3 linked regions of the Lonchura striata genome follow. The protein of the gene in region 2 interacts with the protein of the main gene of each other region in a pairwise test. Links are inferred from orthologs where the notes say so. Each region holds a gene or a part of one and is shown on either strand. Other genes may lie near its edges. The genes, in order: WIPF1, GRB2 and WIPF2.

The links.
Region 1: the proteins of GRB2 (region 2) and WIPF1 interact in binary tests that used the Homo sapiens proteins (3 or more experiments, as listed by UniProt). The link is inferred for Lonchura striata from reciprocal best matches to the Homo sapiens genes GRB2 and WIPF1.
Region 3: the proteins of GRB2 (region 2) and WIPF2 interact in binary tests that used the Homo sapiens proteins (3 or more experiments, as listed by UniProt). The link is inferred for Lonchura striata from reciprocal best matches to the Homo sapiens genes GRB2 and WIPF2.

Annotation. Positions count from the first base shown.
Region 1 is NC_134610.1:21,547,261-21,552,438, reverse strand, and holds the start of WIPF1 (WAS/WASL-interacting protein family member 1), read left to right. Parts: upstream 1-1,683; 5' UTR 1,684-1,783; intron 1,784-5,042; 5' UTR 5,043-5,154; intron 5,155-5,178. UniProt on the Homo sapiens protein: Plays a role in the reorganization of the actin cytoskeleton. Contributes with NCK1 and GRB2 in the recruitment and activation of WASL.
Region 2 is NC_134621.1:5,254,990-5,258,589, forward strand, and holds the start of GRB2 (growth factor receptor-bound protein 2), read left to right. Parts: upstream 1-1,098; 5' UTR 1,099-1,142; intron 1,143-3,600. UniProt on the Homo sapiens protein: Non-enzymatic adapter protein that plays a pivotal role in precisely regulated signaling cascades from cell surface receptors to cellular responses, including signaling transduction and gene expression.
Region 3 is NC_134627.1:6,967,034-6,972,211, reverse strand, and holds the start of WIPF2 (WAS/WASL-interacting protein family member 2), read left to right. Parts: upstream 1-2,195; 5' UTR 2,196-2,246; intron 2,247-5,178. Other genes in the region: RAPGEFL1 (rap guanine nucleotide exchange factor-like 1), read left to right, coding at 1-26, 290-344, 1,130-1,254. UniProt on the Homo sapiens protein: Plays an active role in the formation of cell surface protrusions downstream of activated PDGFB receptors. Plays an important role in actin-microspike formation through cooperation with WASL.

The sequences.
Region 1 (5,178 bases), on a different chromosome or scaffold from region 2:
TTGTTGCTGCCTCTTTGCCAGTGATGACTCTTCTCACATCTCTGTGGATAGGAGGTATTCTCAAAACCATTGTTACTCCATTTCCAATTATTTTAACCCACTGATATAAATTACTGGAGCTACTTTGGCTCATTTGATAGTAATGAACTAGTGAGTGTTGGTAAGAAGCCCCGAGGCAGCAGATGGGAATGTAATCCCTGGCTGGTGGTCACCAGGAGGCTGCTCACAACATTGATGTCTTCATTTGGCACAGTTTAATTATAAAGATGACATTTCAGTGGAAACCTCTTAATTTATGTAGAAATTGCATAGAATTCATCTACCCATGGGAAAAGAAGCAGCTCCGATTGGCTTGCTCTGGTCTCTCACTGTAGCCATGGTTTTGTGTGACAGCCTGGGTAGTGGCAGAGCCAACTTCCTACTAGCACTTGTCTGGTTTTGCCTGAAAGTGAGAAAAGGGGGGAAAATCTCATGAGCTTTTGACCTCTAGATCAGCTTCTCAGTGTGGTCCGTGGCACAGCCTGTGGAACAACTGTGCCAACACACTTGGAGCAACTGAGGGATGCAGTGGAAGAACTGAATGGAGGCAGGACAGCCACAAATGACTGTGGCTGCCAAAACCGTTTCCCTCCCAAATTTTGCAGCATCACTGTCTCTTCATTCTCTTCCTACCTTCAAGGTTTTCCCATTTGCACTTAGGTGCAGCTAAAGCAATCTATGCCCCAGCAAAGATCTTTGCAGTCAGTCTGTAATGGAAACCCTCTGGGTTTGTAACCCACTATTTTCACCCAGGCCTTGCCAGGCTGATCAGTTCCCCAGGCATTCTGTTACTAAATAAAGGAATGCAGCATTTTATCTTCACCCCTTAGCTTGATTGATGTGTATTTAGTGTTTTCCACAAGGACCATCTCACAGCAGAGCAGTATCTCCTTGCTGACTCTGGTGTGACCATTCTGCCTCTACTGTGATGTGGTAGTCTTCAAACTTTATCTCCAGGCTGTATCAGTGCACCTGGTGGTGCAATCAGGGTTAGATTGCCTTTCCAAAATTTATGTGTCTTTAAAAAAATGATAAAGCACCACCTATTGACTAGTCCTCTAAACATAGTACTCTAGTAGAGGACTTTACTGTCCTTCCTTTTGTGGCGTGTTCAGACCTGTTTGTCCAGTGCTAGATAACAATATGTGAATGCACACTGATACAACTGAGAAAATCTCTGCTCTTCTGAATACATAAACTACTTTTCATAGAACTCAAACTTGTGTTTACTGTATTCAAATGAAAGTATTTCTGAAAATTGCTGATGACTGCATCTGTTTGAATTCATCAATTCACTACCACTCCAAACATTTGATAAACAAATACCCTTGAACTGAAATTTCCCACGCCTGCAGTGTAATTACATTCTCCACTACTGCATTTGCTTCCCCTTTTTTTAAAGGGGGCCTGGCACACTGAGTAGACTGTGGCAGAATCACATTTGGCATTTGGTATTAATATACAGTACAAAAAGGTCTATTGAATCACGGAGTGACTCAGAAGGCAGTAGAGGAGGGCTTTTTGGCTGTGCAGAAATGTCAGTGGTTCAACATTAGATCAGAAATTTCTTTAACATGTTGTGAGGGACAGTTAGTTGTTTCATCTGATGTTAAAATGCAAGCAAAGCGAGTCTAGCAAGGTGCGGTGAGGAAGTGTGTGTCACATGCTCCTCCACAGGAAACGAGACAGGAGCTGCTGGGGAAGTTCAGAACTGGGTGACCTCCAACACATTCAAATAGCACAGGTTAGTTCTCTTAAAACATCTCTTTAGCTGTCCTGCAGGGGTTCTGCACATGTATTTTCACTGGATTGTGGCAGCAGTGGCTGAGGAGTGCTCTGTATGGCAGTTGTGTAGCGGGTAGTAAGCAGCATGGGATTTCCGAGCAGAACTCTACAGCGCAAAAATAGGAAGCTCATCTGTGAGTTAGCTTGGCTTGTGCAAATCTTGGAGCCTGCCTTGCAGTACAGCAGAAGTGTGGCCTGAGTCACGTTAGAAGTGTGGATGAAATCTTCTCCATCTTAAGACTTCCATAAAGTAAGTTAAAGGTCTGGATTTTTAATAGATGTGTTCAGTGTTAATAAATACTATAAAGCACTTTTCCAAGTAGAGGTTAAAATAATTGACTATAGTGAACATTTATTTTAGTTTGTTTTGGCTGTTTTGGCTCTTCTCTTTGATTTTACTGGCACAGTTTCTTGTTAAAGGTGTTCTCTCATTCCTGGTGATTTCTATTGAGAAATTGCACTTTTCTGTGCTGGAGTGTTTCAACTTGGGAGCACATTGCATCAGGAATGAAATGAAGCTAGGTTGGTGCTGGTGAATTTGGGAGTTCTCAGAGGGTGACTCTTTAATGGGATCTATGTTTTTTACCCCGGCACAAATATAGATTTGTTACTTCTAAAATACTATGCAATTGTGATTAATTACAAATCTGAAATGCAAAGTTGGAGTGAAAGTTACGAAGAAAAGAACTTTCGGGATAATAAAATGTATAATATAGTAAATGCACAGAATCTGAACTAAAATGAAATCGCAGTGTGGAGTCCACGTGGTGCTGGGAGAGTGTGGGGAAGAGGAGGTGATGGCTCCACAGCCAGCTCCAGCAGTGGTGGCTGGAGGCCAAGGAGCTCTCTCTGCACAGAGTCCCCTGCTAGCCAAGGGTCACAGCTTGTGAGGTAGAGGGGCTTGGACAGGGATGGTGGCAGCAATCTCACAGGAAATGCAGCTGCTGCTGGGGATGCCAGTGCTGTGACAAGGCCATGCCAAGCATTAAAATCAGATCTGAGCGTCAGGCAAGAAGTCCTACAGCTGCCCATACATCTTCCCGAATAGTAAAAAAATATTTTTCTGGTCACGTAGAAAACCAGACTAAGTTTCACAGCTCTCTCACCCTCCTTGTACCACCTGAGCACTCATCCTGAGGTCAGTGTAGAAACATCTGCGCACGATGAGCGCAGTGGCTCGTGGCGGGCCAGGCTGCTGCCGCCTCCTGCACGTGGGGTTGGATGCTGCACCTGGTCCTGCTGCAGGGCATGGAGGGTCCTGGCAAGCTGGGAATAGCAGGGCCCTGTTCCTGGGCAGTTAAACAGCTCTGTGGCTCAGCCTTGCAGAGCTTTGCTCTCGTATTTTGTGCTTTGGGGCTTTATACGCAGAGAAGGCTTTGGCCTTAGCTGGGCTCCTCTGCTTCTGTAAAACCAGCAAGTTTTCAGGGAGCCAGAGTTCTGCCCCAAATCAACCTTTCTGATGTATTAGGGTTTATAGTCTTCACTGGAGCACTGTTTAACTAGGACAGTGATTTAAAAGCAATTTAGTAAAATCCCACTGCAGACATTTTCATTTCAGCCTAATCCTGTCTTATAGCGACTCATCTCAAATAGATTAGGAGTTGTTTTAAGCTAAGTGTAATGGCTCGTAAATAATATATTTGAGCCTCCATGCAGTGGTTTGTGCCAGGTATTTGAAATGGAGTTAAAAAATAAACTGACACACATGCCTAAACAAATAAGCCCTAACAGTTTTACCCTGCTAACAGGAGTGAATGTAGGCAACCAGGATTGAAAGAGCTAGAGAGTTGTTGAAGAGGGGGGATTTCTGAATGGGCCTTTTCCAGCAGCTTGTATTATGGAAACCAGGGAAAGAATGTTTCTTCCTCTAACAAATTAGAAAGGAAATCTGCAAAAAGAGGAAAGGGAATAAAAAGTACAGACTAAACAAAATGAATTAAAATTGCATTGGAATGATAGAGAAGGAAACAAAAAAGAGAAAATAATAAAAAAATGAAACCAGATGGGGACAAATTCTCTTCTTAAGAAACAAAGGATATTCTTCTGCTGCACTTCAGAAGGAGGAGAGACTGTGTACGTGTGTTTGTACGTATATTATCTATGGAAGAAAAATTCATTTTTCTGTATGTTTTTTTAAATGGTTTGCTTTTTTTTCTTTCCCTTCAGCAATGCTAATATAGCAGTTTATTGATTTGAGGGAGCTTCAAATTTAGATTAAACCATCATTAAAGAATCTTTAATTCTGCAAATAAATAGAATAAACCACTCAATATCACTCACCTGAATCACTGGCCGGTTTTACTCCCCAGAAACAACATGGCTGCATTGCACTGTTGAACTTCTGTCCACTTGGATCCATAGCACAGGGTTATTCTACTCTCTGCAAGGGAAAAAGTAGGAATTAAATGTGCAACACCAGCTAAAGCAAACCGGAAGTGCACAGACCAGCTTCAGAGAGTTGATAGCAGAATCCCCTTGTGGGTTGCATTTCACCACATAGCTTATGCAAAGATTGCATGGCTGTGAGGGACTGGGGTCTTGAAACTGATTTCTAAATATAAGTAAATATGTAAAATGCTGAATGGCTACTGTTCTTACATTTTATTTCAAAATTACTGATTTTTAAAAATTTTATTTTGTTGGTTCTAATACTGAATACATCAATTGGTCGAGTGTATTTTTTGTGGGGGCATTATTTGCAGCTCACATCTTCCAGGCTGTTGCTTCTCCTTTTCTTCCCCCACACATTTGTTTCAGCTTTTGCACGTGTTTTTCTCTAGCCTAAACTACAGAAACCTCCTAATTACAAAGCTAGTTGTTGAGTCATATCTCTTACTAGGAGCAGCTGTTGTAGTGGATAACTCTGTTCAGTCATGCCATCACATCCGTGGCTTTTTATGCCTTTCTGTTTTCCTTCCACCATTTATGTTGGTTTTTGCTATAGTATGTATGCTATGCTGAAGTTGGAAGAATGGTCTTAAATTTGTTTGAGAATAAACTGGGTCCTCTGGCCTCAGTGAGCAATAAGGAGAACCCAGCCAGTGTGTTTTCCTGTTCTGATTGCCCTTTAGAAGGAGGGAAGCACTTCTTTGCAGTATGCTGCCATTTTCTCATGCAGAATTTCTACTTATTCAAGGAAATACATAATGAACACATGCTCAGGCTCTGTGATCCCCAACAGTTCACAATTAATATTTCTTTTCCTTTCTTCCTTGCAGGATTGTGCAACTTGGGAAATGTTATTGCAATTTAATTAACTTCAGAAAGTGTATTCTGGACTGAATTGACCAGACCTCCTATTCTATGCAAGCATCTCCTGCTGGTAACCAGGTACAGAGGCTGTGGGGTTTGCAC
Region 2 (3,600 bases):
TTTATGCCTTTATCAAAGGATTGAGGCCTGATGTTTACCTGAGCAACTGCTTTACTGTATAATTAAGAGTATTTTCAAGCTAAAAGAATGTCAGGAGGGTCATCCATGCAAACCCTGACATTAGCTGCCTGTGCAATCTGAATTTTTGTCTCTGTGGATGCTGTAATTGCCATGTGTGATTAAACTATTTGTTCCTACAGCATGGGTGCCTTAATCACTGCTCAGGAGAGATGGCAGTTGTCAAGGAACGGCTCACCAGGTGTGTTCTCTGCTCTGAGCTTTGGGAGCAGCTCTGCACGCCTCGGTGTCTGCTCAAACACTGCCTGGACAAGCTGGGGTGCATCTCTGGTAGTTAGAGAATTTCTAGATCAATTCCTCCTTGCTGGCTCCATGGTGTAGCACATGGCCCTGTCTTACAGAGAAGTGGAGACACTGACAAATTAAGCAAGTATTGTGCACAAAGCCAGCGTGATTTCTCCTCCAGAAACTCAGGGCCTCCTCCCCAAGGTGTTAACAGAGCCTCGATAGCAGAATCACAGACTCAATTTGGTTGGAAAAGACCACGGAGACCAGCGAGGCCAACCTGTGATCCAACACCTCGAGACCATGGCACTGAGTGCCAGGTTCAGTCTTTCCTTAAACACCTGCAGGGACGGTGCCTCCACCACCTGCTGGGCAGCCCGTTGCAGCGGTTCATAACCATTTCGGTGGAAAAATTCTTCCTGATATACAACCAGAACCTCCCCTGGCGCAGCTTTCACGCTGCGCTTTTGTCCTATGGCTAGTGGGCTGGAAAAGCCCGAGCCCCGCCTGGCTACGCCCTCCTTTCAGGTACCCGTGGCGGCCGGTGCGCGCCGCGCCGCTCGGCCGCCGCCTGTCCCCGCCCGCGGCCGGGGCAGGGCAGGTCGGGCCGGTGCTGCGCACGCGCGAGGCGTGCCCGCGCTGCCGGCGGGGCGGGGAGCGCGCAGGCTCCCGCGGAGGGCGCTGACAGCGCGGCTCTCGCGAGAGCTGCGGCGGGACCGGCGGCGCGGCGGGCGGGGGGCCGGGCCGGGGCCGGAGCGGCGGCTGAGGCGGCGCTGGAGCGGCGGCCGGGCCGGGCCGCGCGGGGCCGGGCAGGCGGCGGGAGCGCCCAGCGCTGCGCGGTGAGTCCGGGCCTGTGCAGGGCCGCCGCCCGCCGGGGGCCGTGCCGGGGCGGGGAGCGGGGAGGGCGCACGCTGAGCCCCCGGTGCCGCGGCCTGGGCCCCGCGGTGCTCCGCTCTCCTCGCTGCGCTCCGCCTCGGCGCCGGCCCCGTGTCCCGCCGGGCCTGGCCGGGTCGCGGGGGGTGGAGAGGATGCGGGCTCTGCCGGTGGGGGGGTGGTGGAAATGAGCTTTGGGCTCCAGAGGCGTCATCTGCTCGGCGAGATTCCCGGCTCGCGTACGGGCAGCACCGGGCGGGGGTCGCTTTTCTCTCTGCTCTAGGGCTGCGGCGTGTGGCTGGTCGTGGTTCTTGGGGCTTACCTTTTGTATTCCCCAAAACGAGTTCTGTAACTTAAGGCCGCTTCCAAAGGTTAAAATGCTGCAAGTACCCTGTAGGCAGGATAACATCCCTGCTACACTGTCTCCAAACACGTTTGGGGTCATGCTTCAAACGTGCGTTTCTGTGACGGAGAAGGACATTTTTCTCTTGGCCTCTTCCTTCTCTTCTGAACCTCCTTCTTCAGAACCAGTGCTGGTTTTGTGGGACAAGGTTTGACTTGCCAATATAGTTTCAAATAATCTGTAGAAGACAAGGATGCAGCCTTGTTAACTCCCACAACATCTGACTCAGACACCTCTTTTATAACCTACAGTGAAAACTATTCTGTAGCACAGTTAGTAACTGCAAGAGCAATTCACAGATACAGTGCTTAGGGAAGTTAATTCTTTGTTTCAAAAATTATTAAATGCCTGGGGTCAAGGGACAAAATCTGAAGGACCACAGATGGTTAATCAATCTTCAAACACAGTGTTGTTTGTAATCCATTTCTGTGCCAACTTTGGAAATTTAGAATTTGTGCCACAAAAAGACCTTTCAGTTGTTATCATCTCTTAGGTTGATTGTCATGCCATATTTGGGTGTTTCATCATACCAGCTAAGTTTGTAACTTTTAAAGCAGTTTTACAATGTTTAAAATAAGAAAAAAAAAAAAAAAAAAAGAACTGCCAGTAAATAAATTCTGGCAGAGGTGAAGTTTTCTGTGCTTTGTACTGTAGCTTAGTTTTGTAAGTAATATCTTGAGTTGTCTGGTGCTGAAGGAAGTTGAATCGCATTAAGCTGGTAGATCAGGGGGATAATTGTGATCCTGAATGTTCTGGGGTTTATATGTTAATAATCTAATTTATATTTTACTTTGTTCCTTTATTATGTTATACTTCCTTATTTGGTTAATTTGAATTAGTGTTCTGCCCTTACAATTTTAACTTTCTATTCTTTTGTCTAGAGCCTGACACTTGCATTTCTGCATGTCTTCCCGATGATGTATGCACACATTTTTCTTTCCAACACCCTCAATAATGTTTTGTCCTAAAACAGTTGATGAAGTTGAGGATCTGATTCTTTCCAAAATCTCCTAGTGAATCTATCTTGCCTCTCTTTGGCTTTTCTAAACTGTCTGTTGTTCTATTCCTGCCTGTATCACTTTCCAGAAGAGCAGTAAAACAGTGAAAAGAGAACAATGAGAAAGCTCTCTTTTGTTTAAAAACCATGCTGTTTCTAAGAGTAATGAAAAAAGCTCACCTTTGCCTGTGTGCTTTTTGAAATATCTGTTGAAGTGAGCATGAGAATTGTTTCCTGTTGGCCACTACAGGGAGGTTTGTATTTATAATTACTTTTATTCCATCCTGAGCTGCAGCACTACTACTAATGAGCATTTACTGTTGGCTGCATCTGCTGCCTTTTCTTCCTCTTACCCCTCCCAGTATTTTTAAGAGCAAAGGAAGTCTTAACCCAAGTCACAGTAAGGTGAGAAACACTGATATTTTGAGAAGTCTTAGTCATTTCTCTAGCAAGATCATCTGAAAATTTTTGTAACATGTAATCATTGTATTCATATATTGGCTGTTATTCATTCATACCAGTCTTACTCCACTTGCAGTCTGTGGACTGGGTTCACTGCAGTAACGTGTCCTGTTGCACTGCTCTCTGCCTGAACCAGATACAGCTGTGCTTTTTTCCCCACTCACGCAGTTGGCTTGCTCATGTTTTAATAACAGCATGGCTGAATGTGTGTAAGAACTTATTTAATAATATTGTAAGCAGCAAATGCTTCCTTAAGAGAATTTAAGGGAATTATGCCTTGGCTTTACCTTTCCTAATATTTGCTGTGTGAATATCTTGGTTTAATATTTTCAAAGCTTTTCCCTCTTTCAGATACAACTTTAATGCCTAAACTTCAGCTACACTTTTGTCTAAAGTCAGGAAAGTTAAAGTTTTGCTGCACACTGCAGCTGCTGTTAACATTGTTACCTGGAAACATCACTCCTTTGTATGCTGACAATATATCTGATGGTGGTAGTAGTACTAATGCATGTTTAAAGAGTATTGCATGATGAATCTCTTTCATCTTGAATTGTGCTGGAAA
Region 3 (5,178 bases), on a different chromosome or scaffold from region 2:
ACGGGCTGGTCAACGTGGAGAAACTGGTGGGTTCTCAGGGGGAATGGGGCAGAGGGACCCCCAGGATGGGGGCAGGGACTCCCCTGAGGGGCTGGAGGAGCCCCCCTGCCCCGAGGGTTTGGGGCTCTCTGGGGGAGGGTTCAAGGTCTCCTGGGTGCAAACAGGATCCAGGGGGGTCCCTGAGGGTGGGGGGTGTGCAGGAGGCTCCTGGAGGGGTCAGTGGTCCCCGAGGAGATGGGGTGGGGTCTCGGGGGGCTGGGGCTGACTCTGGGGTCTCTCTGTGCCCCAGCACTGCATCGCCGAGAAAGTGAGAACCGTGCGGAAGTACCGGAGCCGCCCCCTCTGTGAGTGGGGGGACGGGGAGGGGGCAGTGCCAGGGCAAGGGGGGCACTGCAGGGGTGAGGGGGGCACTGCAGGGGAGGCCCACACGGCCCTGAACCGGCAGTGCTGGCCCTGAGGGATGGGAATGTGGCCAGAGCATCCTGTACACCTCTTTGTCCATGTCCCTGCATCCCTAAATCCCCGCATGCCCATCCCTCATCCACGCCTTCGTCTCTCATCCCTTCACCCTGCACCCCTGCATGCCTGGATCCCTATCCCTTCATCCCTTCATCCCTGTCCCCACATCCCCATTCCCATGTGGCCATTCCATCCCCGTCCCTGTCTCTTCACCCGCATCCCCTGCATCTCTTCTGTCCTTCAATCCCCACTTTCATGTTGCCATCCCAATTTCCTTCCTGCATCCCTCCATCCCCTCCATCCCTCCATCCCCTTCATCCCTTCCATCCCCACATCCCCTCCATCCCCCACATCCCCTCCATCCCCACATCCCCTCCATCCCCACATCCTCTCCATCCCTTCATCCCCTCCATCCCTCCATTCCCTCCATCCCCACATCCCCTCCATCCCCTCCATCCCTCCATCCCCTCCATCCCCTTCATCCCTTCCATCCCCACATCCCCCCCATCCCCATATCCCCTCCATCCCCTCCATCCCCACATCCCTTCCATCCCCTCCATCCCCACATCCCCCACATCCCCCACATCCCCTCCATCCCCTCCATCCCCACATCCCCTCCATTCCCATTCCCAACCCCATCCCTCCATCCCTGTTCTGGGGCCGTTCCCAGGCCTGGAGCTGGAGGCATCCCCAGCCCAGCTGCAGACCAAGGCCTACGTGCGGCAGCTGCGCGTCATCGACAACCAGAACCTGCTCTTCGAGCTCTCCTACAAGCTGGAGCCTGGCAGCCAGTGAGGGGGGGCCCACCCCGGGACCCCCAAACCCCGGCACCCCCCCGGGGGGCCCGGAGCCCCCCAGCACTGACGCACTTTGCCCAGCCCCGGCCCTTGGGTGCTGCCCCCACCCTTGGGGGGGGGTTGGTTTGGGGACCGCCCCGGCGCACCCCTCTCCCCCTGCCCCCTCCCCTGGCTGGGGCACAGGGGCCCCTGGAGGGGGGTGGCCATGTCCCCCCCTCAGCCCCTCTATTTTTGTATGTGTGGCCCTCCCCCCGCCAGACGTGTATATTTTGTACCGCCGCTGTCCGGAATTGTACATTTATTTTTTAAGAAAAAGGAGGAAAAAAAGGCAAAAAAAAAAAAAAAAAGCCAAAAAAAAAAAAGCCAAGCTGGGGATGGGGCGGGGAGCCCCAATAAAAGTCTGTCCCGGCACTTGTCTCTGATGTCATGCTAGGGGTTGGGGTCACTTGTCTCTGACGTCACGCTAGGGGTTGAGGTCATGGCGGGAGTGACGTCACTGCCTCGCTGTCAGTGACGTCACGGGCGGGGGATGGAGCCGACCTTCCCAAGATGGCGGCAGCGCCGAGCCAACATTTGACCTTCTAAACATGGCGGCCACAAAAGGCTTCCGCCACCCCTCCCACTATGGCGGCCGCTGGGCTCAGCCGACCTCCTCAATATGGCGGAAGGGGTGGGTGAGACAGGCGGCGTAGCCGTGCTCTGTCGCAGCACCGGGGCCTTCCTTTCGGCACAGAGCGGGGAATTTCTTCCCGCTGCTGCCGCTCTGCCTTCGGTCACCGGCACACCGCGGCACTGGGTGCTCACGGAGCCGCCGTGCCCTCCCCGGTACGGCGGTGACGGGCGCGTCCCTCACAGCCACCCGACCTCCTCATCATGGCGCCGCCGTTCCGCCGTGCCCCGCCCGCATCCGGTGCGGCCGCGCAGGCGCAGAGGGGCCGGGGCCGCCATTTCGTTCGGCGGGGCTGGGGCCGGGGCCGGGAGGAGCCGCGGGTGAGCGGGGGAGGGCCGGGGGGGACCGGCGGGCCGGGCCGGGGCTGGCGGGGCTCGGGGGGCCGGGACTGCGGCCGCGGGGCGCCTGTGCGGGGTGTGGCGGCCTGGGGTGGCTGCGTGGGGCCTGTGCCGAGCGCGGGACCGGCGGGGCGGGGGGTGCGCTGAGGCCTGCGCGGATCCGGGGGGTGCCCGGGGCCGGCGGAGGGACCGCGGGGCCGGCTGTGGAGTGACAGGGAGCGGCGAGGCCGGGGGGCTGCAGCCCCCACACATGGAGCCCCTGGAGCGTCCCACCCTGACCCCTGCGCCGCCTGTGAGATCTCCCACCTCCTGACCCCTGGGTCACGTCCGGGACCCTTCCCCAGAACTACCCTGGACCCCCAGCTTGGGTGTGCTCAGAACGTGCGGGTCTTGGGGCTTGTGACCCCACTACCATGGCGATCCTCACTCTGACCTCTCGGTCTCCTCTAAGAGCCGTCCCCTGGAGCTCCACTGAGACCCCCGTGCTGCCCTTGACCCCTCCACCCTGACCCTTGAGTAACGTGTGGGACCCCCCCCCCCCACCCAGGACCCTCCTTGTACCCCCACCCTGGGTGTGCCTGCAGCTGGCAGGACCCCCTGGAATCCCCACCTGACCTCCTGGACTTCTCTGCCCCTCCTTGGGCTCCTGTCTTTGGCTTGGCTGGAACCAGCGGGGCCAGGGGTCTGGGACCTCCACCCTGACCCCTGTGGGATTGCCCTGAGATCCCTGCACTGACCCCTGGACCCCTTCACCCTGACCCCTGGGTCACTTCAGGGACCCCTCTCCAGGACCCCCAACCTGAGGGTCTCCAGAGCTGGCAGGACTAGGGGCCTGGGACCCCCACTGTGACTCCTGGCACCCCTCTGACCCTTCCACTCCTCCCCAGGAACCCCCTGGACCCCCAGCCTGGGGGCGCCCAGAAATGATGGGGCTGAGTACTTGGGGTCCCACCATAGGGACCCCCAGCATGGAGGCTCTGACCCCAGAGTGTCCCCTGATGCTCCCCCTATGGCCTCTGAGACCCCCACCATGACCCCATTGACCCCTCCCCCCTAACTCCTGGGTCACCTCAGGGTCCACTCCCCAAAACCCCCTTGGGGCTGTCCAGAACCGGTAGGACCAGGAGCCAGGGACCCCCAGTGTGACCCCTGCGTCTACCCAGGACCCCTCCACCCTTCTCAGGATCCCCCTGGACCCCCTCTATGACCCCTGGGGCCTCCACACTAACTCCCAGGACCCCAAACTGACTCCCTGGACTCCTCCACTCCTCCCAGGACCCCCTGGACCCCCGCTCTGGGCGTGCTCTGGGGCCTGTCAGGACGGGGGGGACGACCCTGTTTGGGGTACAGAGGGAGGGGTGGACTTTTTGGAGCCTGTAGTGGCTTAGGGACAACCATGGACACAGAGTTCCGTGGAATCCTGGAATGACTTGAGTTGGAAATGACCTGAAATCCCATCTTCCACTGGAAGGGGTTGTTCCAAGCCCCATCCAAGCTGGAACACTTCCAGGGATGGGACAGGCTTTTCAGGACAATGCTGGAGCTGAGTTGTTCCTCCTGCTCCAGGGAAACGCATCCAGGATTCCCCGCTCCCGGTCCAACGGCGTTCCCGACCACCGTGCCTCAGGCAGCGCGGGTGGGAAGGCCGGTGCACCGGGAGCACATCCCCGCGGCGGGATCCCACTGTTGGGATCGCTGTCAGGATCGCTGCACCCGGAATTCCCAGCTCCGGCTCGAAGGAACCGGGAAGTGCCCGCGTCTCCTGCCGCTTCCTCCCTCTGGAACAATTCAGCGCTTCCTGCCCAGCCCCTCGGTCCCTGCCCAGCCCCTCGTGTGCCACCTCTCCCTTCCCGGCTTCCTTTTGCCTTTTCGGAAAAGGGGGAGCGGCAGGGGAGGCTGCGGGCCTGGCAGGACGGGCTTTTCCTGCTTTTCCCTTTGCTGCAGCGGAATTTCGGGACAGGGCGCCTTGCTCCTGATTAAAGGTTTCCTCTGCTGGGTGACCTGAGATGAGCTGGGAGCAAGGGACAGACTGAGCTGCAGGGGTTCTTGGTTGGGGATGGGAAACTGAGGCCAAGGAAACTGGGAATGGGGAAACTGAGGCCAAGGAAAGTGTGTAGAGGAAAACGGAGGATGTGGGAGATGAGGATGGATAGGGAAACAGGTTGTAGAAGCTGTGGGTGGATGGAGAAACTGAGGCTGTGGAGCCCATCTCTGAGGAATTAGAAACTCTGGACTTCGGGGTTTTTGTTAAAAATGCCTCGTCAGAGCCCGCGGGTCGTTAATAATTCACAGGGAGCGTCTGGATCCCGCGGGGCCGGAGCGTGTCTGTCTGTCTGCACGCAGGGATGCGCCGGCTCCGCGGGATGCTCCAAATGGAGCTGGCAGCTCGGCTCGGGAAGCATGCTGATAGGATTTTAAAAGCCTGAATGACCTTAAATCCTGCGATGGCTGTCGCTCAGGATAAATTATTTATGTAGCATCCTCAGCTCCTCGGGAGCGGGCAGGAATGTCAGGCTGCGGAGGACAGGGTTGGAATTTGGGAGGGGGTAAGGAGGAACTGCGGGTTTGGATGGGAAGAGAGGGAAGATAAAGGCGCGGGGGCGGGTGTTGGAGAGGTCCAGCCTTGGAAGTCGTTCCCAAACCGGTGCGGCCGCATTTCTGCACCGACATCAGAGGGTGGAAATTCCTCTTGATCTGCAGTTCAAAGCCTCCCTGAGGATGAGGCGCTGCAGCTCGGGCTTGCAAATGTGAAATACAAATCCGCCCGGAGCCCAAATCCCCCTGAAAAGCGAGGAAATAGGCGGCTGAAGGTCACTGCTGCTGCCTGTCCTGCTCCAGCAGCAATCCCCCCGGGGTGGGGGCTGCTGCTGGGGAGGGCGTTTCAATTCCCTCCACAGCAAACAGGGACTTGAAA